Linked DNA regions of Oreochromis niloticus. The protein of the gene in region 2 purifies or fractionates together with the protein of the main gene of each other region. This does not show direct contact. Links are inferred from orthologs where the notes say so. Each region holds a gene or a part of one and is shown on either strand. Other genes may lie near its edges.

Region 1 (3,753 bases), on a different chromosome or scaffold from region 2:
GACTGGCTATCAGTTTTCACGGTCACCATGAACTAACGGAACCAGACCTTTGTAAGCGTTTTTTTGTGTAACCCTATCCTCCCTGTGTCTCACCTGGTCCGTTCTGCCGGGCTTGATCCTCGTGTAGCCCTCGAGTGCCTTTCTGCCCGCAGCAGGTGATGGGCCGTCCCGTATCATCACATGTCCAACCCAAAACAACAGAGGGAGGCTCAGGGTGAGCAGGCAAAGCCAGCGAAGCATCTGCACAGGCGGATAACATGTATGAATGTTAGGGTAGTGCAGCTACGCACACATTATTGAACATCCACTGTTTATCGGTTAAATAAGCGAGTGACTCTTACCAGAACGTTCATATCAAGGCCTTCGGGAAACCCCTGCGTTCAATGGCCCGAACGACACTCATTTTTCACGCCGACCCGAGAGAGACGTGCCCAGTCAGCCACCGTCGATTCATGATCACAAAGGTTCCATATCAAAAGATTTTTAATTGCGTTTCCAGATCTGTCAAATTCAAGTATCCGTTTCTTTGTGCGATTACTTTCGTTTTCATCACGTAGCCGAGCTCATTATTCTAGTCTTATTTGCACCATGTTTACATGCACTACCATCTCAAAACTGTGAAGCTGCTCGTTTCTTCCCCAGCTTTGTTGACACAGTACCCTACAAACAATTCCTAGGACCCGCCTTGTAAATTATAACGTTGCCCGTCTTTACAGAATACGACTTCCGGAGCGACTATTTCACAACAAACTATCACCTGAACAAACTTGATAAAAAACATTACTTACCAGAAATAACTGTAACTTTAATAACAATAGTTATAATAACTATGACTTTAACTATATAAACAACTATGGTATAATTTTTTTTTATTATTGTTAGAATTTAAATTAATATAATGACATTAGATGTACTGGCGCGTAATCACTCCTTTATTCTGAAAGAAACATGCCAAAACCGGAAACAGTCTTCTTAATACTTTTGGTTACTTTAAAGTAGCCGTCAATGCTGCGTTCCAGTACCCCTCGTAAACTCTCTTTCCCACAATAGAAGGAAAGTAATTTATAAACATTTTTCAGATGGTGAAACTACGCCGTCCCAAGACTTTTTCTCGTTATACTATTCTAGTAGCCTGACTCCGATGTTATGGCCTTAAGAATATAATTAAGAATATGATAATTCTCTAGATTTCGCCAAACGTAACCCAATTATGTCACTTTAGCATTATTTCTAATTACCAAGTATATATACCGCCTTGAACTTTCTAGCAGCATTTCGCTTCTGTTTGATCAGGATAGAGTGACGATATTTCAAGAACCAATATGTGATTGGATTAGAAAAGTTTTTGCCCCGCCTCACCTTTTCTCCGATTGGTCAAGAAGTAGGTAACTATCTTCACACCTCACCCGACTGGCCCGTGTCCGTGTCTGTATTCTTGCGTTAACTACGTAGGGCGTTAGGAGAAAAAAAAGAATCCACCGTGCGACTTTCACTGACTGTGACACGGGGATGTCCTTCCTTGACGCCTCGGATGATCACGGTATGTACCTACGCAGGGATTATGTTATTAGTTGCGCCTCTGGGGAAGCTGCACACAAAGCCGCCTTGAAGTCTGTAAGGTGTCAGCTCACAGACTTTGCTCTGAAGCCAGCCTGACCTGGTGATGCTATGATGCGGAATGACAGATAAGGCTAGCCGAATAAGCTAGCTAACGTTAGCATATGCTCCTCTAAAAAGACAGTTTCATCCTTGCCAGTGCTAATATTTAGCTGTCATTGACTCGAGCTTTAAAGACAGACATAAACCCTACTGTTGAATTTATGGGAAAGCTCTAAAATAAATTGTGTCAGGAAAATTACTGTTTTCTACTTCCTGAACTGGCTAACAGCTAGCTTTCGCTTTAACATATTGTCAAATTTCTATCAACTAGCAGCCTTGTTGTCGATAACTTCAGTCTGTATGGAACATAGTTGTGCTTTATGTACACTAGTTTGCTTCAGAGATATAGAAAGTCACCCAGTTTCTCATATTGAAGCTACAACTACTATCTTTTGTGAGGCTTTGTCTCGTACAGTATGTTGAATGGCGTGCTTGTTGCCTATTTGCATACCAGACACTCCAGACTGGTTAAGTAGTAGCTGGCAGCGTGTCAGTCTGCTCGCCTTCCAGGTCAAACCATAAACCTGTACAAGTTAAATCTGTGTCTGGAGAGTAGTACAGTGAAAATAGTTTGAACTGATAGCTGCTATTATAATGGTCGTGCAGTTAAAAGCACCTACACTTAGGTAAAAACCTTGTGTTCTATCTGTTGTAGAACAACACGACTGCAGTCAGCCACTGGACGAGAGAGTGGTTGATTACGGATGGTTCATCAGCAGGTCCTGAGCTGGCTGATCTCAGACCAGAGGGGAAACTTAATTTTTGCTGTGGCCTGAAGGCATTATAATTCTTGAGATGTCAATGAGACGAGGAGAAGGGATGTCCATCGCTCAGGCTTTGGCCATGACTGTAGCAGAGATACCCGTCTTTCTCTATTCCACATTTGGGCAGGTAAATCCCTTTATACACATGCACACACAGAGTGTACGCTATGTTTGGTCGTATCCTCACTGCTTCTTTTGCTTTCAGTCCATATTTTCCCAGCTGAGGCTTACACCGAGCCTGAAGAAGGTGCTGTTTGCCACAGCGCTGGGCAGTGTAGCTCTAGCTCTCACTGCTCATCAGTTAAAAAGGCGAGGAAGAAAGAGGAAGCAGGGAACACAAGAAAAGGATGGCCAGAAGACAGTGGGAATACCAGAGTCGCTCATGAAGACAGGACGGCCCTCATCATTAAAGAGAGGTGTGAAGACAGAATATTATGTTTCTTCTTTTTGTTGTTGTTGTTGTTGTTACGGGCTGTTTAGCGTCTTTCAGCAGTGGTTGCTGTGAAACATTCAATGAGGAAATGTTTTTCTTTTGGGACAGCCCCGTTTACTGGTCGACAGATGATGAGTCCCAGCACTCGAAGCAATGATACGATGAGTGGAATTTCCTCCCTGGCTCCCAGTAAACACTCAAGTTCATCACACAGCCTGGCATCTGTAAGTTTTATACTTTTTTTTTTTTTTTGTTGTGTTTGCTTTATTTTTGACTTATTATTATTTTTTTCACCATCTTCGGGTGTATATGTGTTTGCATGCACATTTCCGACGTAGACGCGAGTCCCAAGCTCTCCAAATCAGTCTGCCAATCCATCCACCCCATGGGAGGCAGAGCCTGTGGTGGAAGAGTCAGGGGCAGTAGAGGATGCTAATGCAGAGAATCTCTATTTAATGGGTAAGTATTCACATATTCACTAAAACTTGTGGGTTTTTTTTGTTTGTTTTTATTTTTTAATATAAAAAACAGCGTAAAGCCACTTTTTTTTTTTTTTTGTCTTTTCACTATTTGAAGATGACATTAGAGCACAAGCTATCTATAATTACATGCAACCAATATTAATCAGTATCAATTTGATGCAAAAATACCAGTTCCTGTAACTCTGTAGATTTGTAGTGCAGTACCATTATTTTTCACCTTACGAGTAATGTGCTTAAAACTGTTTTCACACAGCCTTTAATTACTCTTTTAATTAACTGGGGGACTGTATGTGAGTGATGTTTGAATGAATTGGACTGACATACAGCAGGTTTTAGTCTATGTAAAATCTCACTGAGCCCATGTGTGAATTGAACTGCTGTGTACTACATGTAAGAGGGGGCATAACGCCAGACA
Region 2 (3,753 bases):
ATTCCTCGCAAATAGCATCTTAAATTCCCCCTTTTAGCATTCCCCTTTTCATCTACGCTCACATGATGGCCCAAAATGTGTTGAGTTTTGTCTCTCGAATAAAAAGTGTTTTTTTTCTCTTTTAGAAAGAGTTCTCCTAGGCCAGTTGGTGTTTTTCTGCACTGACTTCAGTATTAATTAAAAAAGAAACAGCTGAAGGAAGATTTTCAAACTACAGTAGTTAGGTTAGTTGGTCAGTGACAGTGACTGGATTTTAAAAAATTATCTTAGAGCAGCAAAGTTCTGAGAAGTAAAGATGGGTAGAAGGTCACCAGTCTGCGTTCAAGCAGCACTGCATCAAAAAAAAGTCATGATTCTGTCATGGAAATCACTGAGTGGGCTCAGGAACACTTCCAGAAATCACTGTCTGGGAATTAATGCTTGTGTAACTGGGAGCTTGTGTAACACCTTTTTCCAGGTGGAAAAGCAATCATCACTGCTGAAAGGTATATACACTTTTTAGAGCAACATAAAGCTCCCATCCAGATGACGTCCTCTTTCAGGAAAAGCTTTGCATATTTCAGACTATGCTAATCTGATTACTGCCTTAGTAGGAGAAGAGTCCAGGTGCTGACCTGGCCTGCCTGTATATCAGACTTTTCACCCATGGAAAGCATTATGAGCATAATGAAATGAAAAGTAAAAACAAAGAAGAAGACCTGGAATTTTTGAGCAGCTAGAGTCGTATATCAGACAACAACCAGGCGACATTCCTCTCCCTAAAGTCCACCAACTGGTCTCCCCAGTTCCCAGAGGGATACAACTGTTGTTAAAAATAGTGGTTAAAATCATGGGGTTATAAGATCTCCAAATCTAAAATAGCCTAATGTTTTAGGAACTGAGGTTGTGCAGGGATTGACTGATATCCCGAATCATGAAACTTTGCACTGATGGAAAAAAATCACTTCTGTGAAAATAAGATACTACTAAGGGACTACCGGTTTAGTAATCTGTGGTTTAGTTTGAATGTACCCATTGTTTACGTCGTAAACAAGCAGGTTTAAAGGCTGACCAGTTTTTGGCACAACACCGGTACTGTTACCAGGGCAACGTGTGACCCGTGCTACACAGCAACCTCAACATGTCCTTTAAATCACAAACAACACTTACATTTACGTTACATGTACGTTCACTAATACTTCTAACAGGTTTAACTAGACTATTGCAGAGTGAATTTAATGTGCATGTACAGTATATTGCAGACACGCGATTATGAGACTTCCTTGATTAAAATTCTCGATTAAATCAATAAAGCACAATTTAACTTGGTACCGGTCACGTCGGGATTTTATAAGATTATTTTATAACATGTTTTTCCTTCCCTGTACGTCTATCTCAGTGTCCACACATTATAACTCGTTTACTGTACCATAATCGCATCAGTTGCCAGACCACGAGTGCGCGCAACAGAGGGCTGTGCACTCGCGCGTTCAAGTATTTGTACCCACATGCTCGCTGAGCTCAGTCAGCGTTTGACTCAGTAGAGGCAGAAGGGATCCAGGATTTCCACTTGTCAGTTAACTCCACGATACCGAAATCAAGTGCATCCCTTCAGCCAACATGTCAAAGTTGGATCAGATCCTTATCCTCGACCCTCCGTCTGACCTCAGATTTAAAGGTATGTGAATGAACTATTATTTATTTATTTATTTAGTTGTTGCCGTGTAAAATGTCCAGCGAGTAGTAGTAGTAGTAGTAGTGGTGGTGAAGCAATGATTTCACACTCCCTCAAGCGAATTTCGTGCTAGCAAGCTAGCTAGCATTCACCGCCATTTTAAGTTAGCCAGGGAGCCGGACGGGCCGCTGCAGCCCGGCGCTATAGTGACGTGGATAGCCGGGCAGGCGTGCGCCCAGGTGGCCTGCTATTCAGTACCAGCTTACTGACAGTACCAGGCAAAGAGCTGGAAGGATGTGGCTGTCAGTGACTGCTTAAAAAAAGGAGAGTTAAAGTCTACACGTTAAGAAGCATGTTTGTGTATGTCTTCACATTTAATATCAGCTACTATGCTGTTGCTAGTTGTGTTAGCAGGAGTAAACTGTTGTTTCTTGGGGCTTAGGCTATTCCCTGGAAAGAAATTAATTTCAGAATGAAAAATCCGGCGTTCATCTTGATACACCTGTGGCAGGAACTTGTGAAGCCAGTAAAGTGGCTGACAGTTGGAATGACAAACTTGGTTAGCTAACGTGAACTGTAACAGCATGTATAGTTTATTTATTTTTTTTAATAGCAACACCGGGCTAACATTAGTTCAGTTGATCTAAACCTATTAGCTAAATGTTGGCTAATTTTAAGCGTGTGTTCGCATCCTGGACAAAACAGGACGGCACATTCATGGGAAAGCAGGGTGCTTCACGTATTCGGTTGGCACTGATTGCTTTTCCTGGTAGTGATAACGTCCAGTGATGTGTCAGTTAACCGTTGGCTAATGATAGCATTGGCTAGCCTGCTAATGCCAAAGTTGATGTGTAGTTGTATAACCGTATTGTTTTGCGTCTGACAGACCTGAAGAGACCAAAAATCACATTTTTTAAAAGTCATAGATAGAACATAACTTTTGGTCATTTGTGAGTCCAACTGTTGCTCTTGTGGTCAAGTGAATGAAGTGGCAGTAAACGGCGCTGATTTCAATGAAGCTAGCCCTACCAGGCCATGGGTGACACAACAATCTCCACAGTTGGACTATTTATCCTCATCATTATTCATTTTGACCCAGAAATCCGCACAGCACTTCTCGTATTTGTCCCAGTTACCAAGCTCTGTGTCTGCTGGAGGCATTTTTGCGAACTAGACAGTTATTTCTCTTTCTGTTGAATGTACCACTGTCCTGGACGAGGTTATAAGAGGACACTGGTGTTGGGACAAGGTGTGAATTGATACTGGTTGTAGCCTGACAGGATCGTTAGGAAGGACACAAGCTCACATTCCAGACCCACTGTGTCTTTGGGTGGGGTGTAATAATTTGAATGTTTTGGTGATGAGGTGTCCAGGGTGAAACTAAAATTATTATTATTTTGCCTGTATTATTTTGCCTGACGGTGACACAAGTAGAATAAAGGCAACCCCCCCCCAAAAAAACCCTCATGTTAAAACTGAAACTCATAAAATTTGTGTACATTGATTAAAATCCGGGAATGTTTTTATCATGCAAGGTGCAACAGAAAGTGTGATGGTGAATGGAGCCTTTTCCAGCAGGCTGACATTGTAATTGGACAGGGATAAGGATGTAAATCAGTAAAAACTTGCTCTGGCTTAAGTTTAAAGACATCTGGAAAAGGGTAGTAACCATTTGATTAAACTCACATTTGTTATGTCATAATAACAGCATCAATCAACAGGTTAATGGTGCTATTATGATAAAATTCTTCAATCATATTGTTGGAAAGCCACCAATAGTGTTATTTGTCTCAGACAGGTTGTTTTTTTGGGAGCAACAAGGTAAACCAGAATACATAAATGAAATTTTCTCCAGCTGAACGTTAAAATTTCATGGGTATTTAGCCTGATGGTAGACACATGGTTCGTCATAATCTGATCATGGACCTCTACTTTTTTTTACCCGATTAAGAAATTCTACTCTAATTTGACTTATTCCTGTTACTGATCAGTCACACGGTTTACATTTTCCCTCATCAGATTAAACTTTTGGCCTTTTATATTCTGGATTGGATGCAAAGCTAAATTGCATTAGTATGATGCTGTTCATACTGATCATT
Region 3 (3,753 bases), on a different chromosome or scaffold from region 2:
CCAGGCGTCCCTATCACAATAAATACATAAATAAAATAAATAAAAGCAAGCAAAAGAAAAAAACATGCACTGTTATATAATTTTATAAGGTGGAACACACAGAAGAGCAAAACAGCAAAAGTGTGTTTGAAGGCCTTTGTGCCAGTTCCAGTTTTCAGCTGAGTCAATATGGAAAGACTATTTGAGGACACCAACTAATTTACTAACTTTGGATCACAGTCTGGCAGACACTTAAACATTCACTAGAAACTGTACCTACCCATGAAATATGTGTTTATTTAACCTTTAATTAACCAAGAAAATATCATGTTTAAGATTAAAAATAACTTTTTCAAGGGTGTCCTGGCCAGAACAGGCAGCGGTGCAATCAGCAGCTACATAGAAACCAGGCCAAAAACAGGGCAGGAGAGTTCAAGCAACTGCCTCAAAGTCCTTTAAAATTCATTTATGAGACCACATGCTTAACAGGTACAAACAAACTGACCTTTTTGGAATTAATCAAGTTATCTGAATCTATTTTTTTTTTTTTACCCCAAAATGACAAATTCAATTTTAAGGAAAGACAGAAGGAATAATTCTTGAGACCAAAAACAGTAACATCCTGCACTTTTTTGACCAAACTAGTAGATTAAAAACAGACTTGCAAATAAGAATATAGCTATATCTGAGTCTACAGAAGGACAAAGCAGATCACGGTGAGCAAGGGCTTAAGGTTTATGATCAAACTCAATGCTTCGAGACTGACAGTATCCAGCGTGTGTAAAGCACTGAGAAAACACACAGGCACAAGCCCCTCCTTGAGAGAAACTGTCCAGCTTTGTGGGTAAGAGGTCACCGATAAATTTTAATGAGTCCAGAGATCACCTGACACAGCCTGAGCTTAACAGAGTGAGATTTTCATTTCTGAATATCACAAGCTGTCTTGATGTGACCGCCAAAGAATGATAAAATATGATAAAACATAACAGCAACAGGGTTTGTGTCTGGGGGACTATTCTTAGAAGTACACTGATCCACAGAGATTTAAAACAAGCAGTGTGGGGAAGCTTGCTTCACAGAAGTGCATGCATCTTCCTGTTACACCATTAGTGCAGGAGAAATAGAATAGACTATAATAACTTTATTACTCACATTGAGGGAAAATTGTCTTTGGTTCACCAAGCCATAAACAAATCAAACAAATCATAGCAACACAGCATCTAATTATTTAGTATACTGATTGCTCTTGGCACAAATTATTCCTTTTATGCCCTGAAATCACATTTTTTTCCCCATAGAATTGAGTTCTGAAGGAATCCTAAGCGCACAACCACCACCGCCCCCTAACTTACCATTTCGCCTTTCCAACTACATCCCAGAAGCTAGGTCGGGGTATGTTGCATGGTCCCACAGTGGCCTGTTTATAGTAGCTGTAGAACTTGAGCATCATGTCATTGGAGGGCTGAAAGGGACCTGAGGAAAAGAAAACTCTCATCACATAAAAAGCCTTACCCTCCACGTGCAGAGTTGTGGCTGATTTCTATTTCTTTCAAATCTGTGATGGCTTGGGGACAAAGCAAGCAGGCCAAAGTGGATTATTTAAATCGCACAAGCTGCTGCACCGCACCTGCCCGGGGGTGGCTGAGCTGGTTGAACTGGCCTGTGTGTGTGTCTGTGTGAGAGAAAGAGAGCTTCTAGTGAGGTGTTCACTCACCATTCGGGGGTAAACTCTTGATCACCTTCACGGCGGCATCAAACCTCATCTGGGTTAGGCGCCCTTCATCTTCCACGCGGACACTCTCCACCTCCATCGTGTCACTCGCAGACAGCACAACAACAACAACAACAACACCTGCAAGCAGTAAACAAAGTCACGACAACTGCAAAAAAAAAACAAAAATAAAATGTTCAAAGCGTTTGTTTATAGCATCTATGCTAGCTCTGAGCAGCAGTTTGGTTTGTTTTCGTCTGTAAATGAGCAGACTTTCGCGACGCTAATGCGACCAGCTACACTTGAAAGTTAACTGTCTACAGTATGTTATGACCACCAGTAGGAGGAGGCTGAGCCAGTTGGATATCTAGGACACAACGTTTAACGTGTGGCACAGCTTTAGCGACACTGTCGTTTCCACTAAACGGTATCTACACTGACACACTTTCGAGAAAAAAAACAACGCTTAAAACCGCCGTTACTTACCGTTAAAATCACGGGCCTATCTGTTTGTCAGAAGGCGACTTGTCATTAGCCCTTGACCAGACGCCATGAACAGCACACACTGTGGGAATTGTAGTCTTATTGTTGCATTTCGCTGAATATCGATGGCGCCTACAAACTCCACAATCCTCTGCGTCCACATGAAGAAAACAAACAATAAACGTCTGTGAAAATATGGTTTAGATATGAAAACAACATATTAAAGTCAAACGAGTGAGAAAGCTGATGAGAAGTGAAATATATAATGTTACTTCACTCTTATGGCTGAAAACACAAACTCATGTCGCGACAGTTCGACACGTAAAACTACACATCCCAACATGCTCTAGATAGATCCATGTTTTTTCTTTTTTTCCCTCCCTCTTCGTTGGAAGACTGATAGGTCGACAGCAGAAAAAAGCTAGAGCTCTCACTTTGTCCTTAAATCCTTCAGACAGATAAGATGCAACACTGCTGAACGCGATCCTACAATAACTGCATGCAATATTCTTCTACCTAATTCCGCGTCCACACCTCGCGACATACATTCTCATGTAAAGTGGAAATACATTACATATACACATTACATATACATACCCTGCTAATATATATACCCACATCTGTATGGGTATGTACATCTTTCTGTATCTGTGGTTCAGTATCAACTCAGGGCTAGAGGTATGCTTAAAACATAAATAAATACATAAAATATTTTCTTCAAATCAAATCAAAATTCTTTATATTTTGCTTCCAAGTAGCCAGATGTTCTTGTATTATTATTTTTTAAGTGGTCTTGAGCAAAAGTTCTCCAGGCTTTCTGAATTCTTTCTACGTTTTTCTTTGGGTATGGGCTGCTGGGGATTTTTTTTCTGTTCATTAAACCCCTCATAAAACTGATCTGTGCATCATTTAAGCATAAGAAAAGATACTCAACTCAAGAGAGGACCAACTGTTGTATCTATGCATAACAGACGAATTAGTAGACAATCAAGTGTATTATAATTGTACAAACTGGTTCTGCCTTTCATGCTATATTTCCATGTATGTTTGCTCATGTTTCAATAACATGTTTCACATTTTCCAGGAAAAATATCTAGAAATGAAGGCTGGGTCAAAATTTTGCTTAGTATTGTCACAACAATGAATTTAAAAATGTCTAAAAAATGTTCTATTCATTTTAAAAATGTACCGTTTTCTCTGTTGTTATAAAAATGTTGCCATTTAGAATATTGTAGAATATACTGCAATAAGATAACGTTTTATTCTGCACAATTTCCTTCAAAAAATAAAATAATAACTCAACTAAAATTACTTTCTTTATTCCAAAATTACCATTTTCATCCAAAGTGAATTAAAATTTCTAAGTAAAACTGGCCAAATACATATATTCACCGTAAATGATCAATTTGGCTTTTTTTTCTCCTAATATATCTCAGATACTCTCAAATACGCTTGTTCCTCCTGTCCCTTGTGCGGAATTAAAATGAAATAAAATCGAGAGTAAAATGTTCGCACACAATATTGCGGATGTAGTGAGCCTCCTCACTGGTACACACGATCTTCGCTTTGAGGTTACGCCA

The links.
Region 1: the proteins of vapal (region 2) and miga2 purify together in Homo sapiens (co-immunoprecipitation; 3 studies listed by BioGRID and IntAct, counting the BioPlex papers as one, with this or other methods). This does not show direct contact. The link is inferred for Oreochromis niloticus from reciprocal best matches to the Homo sapiens genes VAPA and MIGA2.
Region 3: the proteins of vapal (region 2) and acbd5a purify together in Homo sapiens (co-immunoprecipitation; 4 studies listed by BioGRID and IntAct, counting the BioPlex papers as one, with this or other methods). This does not show direct contact. The link is inferred for Oreochromis niloticus from reciprocal best matches to the Homo sapiens genes VAPA and ACBD5.

What each region holds. Positions count from the first base shown.
Region 1 is NC_031972.2:16,050,575-16,054,327, forward strand, and holds the start of miga2 (mitoguardin 2), read left to right. Parts: upstream 1-1,391; 5' UTR 1,392-1,540; intron 1,541-2,314; 5' UTR 2,315-2,454; coding exon 2,455-2,550; intron 2,551-2,628; coding exon 2,629-2,839; intron 2,840-2,964; coding exon 2,965-3,080; intron 3,081-3,194; coding exon 3,195-3,315; intron 3,316-3,753. Other genes in the region: st6galnac4 (alpha-N-acetyl-neuraminyl-2,3-beta-galactosyl-1,3-N-acetyl-galactosaminide alpha-2,6-sialyltransferase), read right to left, coding at 94-240, 342-353. UniProt on the Homo sapiens protein: Regulator of mitochondrial fusion: acts by forming homo- and heterodimers at the mitochondrial outer membrane and facilitating the formation of PLD6/MitoPLD dimers. May act by regulating phospholipid metabolism via PLD6/MitoPLD.
Region 2 is NC_031982.2:24,673,368-24,677,120, reverse strand, and holds the start of vapal (VAMP (vesicle-associated membrane protein)-associated protein A, like), read left to right. Parts: upstream 1-1,500; 5' UTR 1,501-1,599; coding exon 1,600-1,657; intron 1,658-3,753. UniProt on the Homo sapiens protein: Endoplasmic reticulum (ER)-anchored protein that mediates the formation of contact sites between the ER and endosomes via interaction with FFAT motif-containing proteins such as STARD3 or WDR44.
Region 3 is NC_031974.2:12,561,872-12,565,624, reverse strand, and holds the start of acbd5a (acyl-CoA-binding domain-containing protein 5A), read right to left. Parts: upstream 2,332-3,753; 5' UTR 2,177-2,331; exon of another isoform or gene 2,176-2,176; intron 1,832-2,175; 5' UTR 1,791-1,831; coding exon 1,694-1,790; intron 1,453-1,693; coding exon 1,332-1,452; intron 11-1,331; coding exon 1-10. UniProt on the Homo sapiens protein: Acyl-CoA binding protein which acts as the peroxisome receptor for pexophagy but is dispensable for aggrephagy and nonselective autophagy. Binds medium- and long-chain acyl-CoA esters.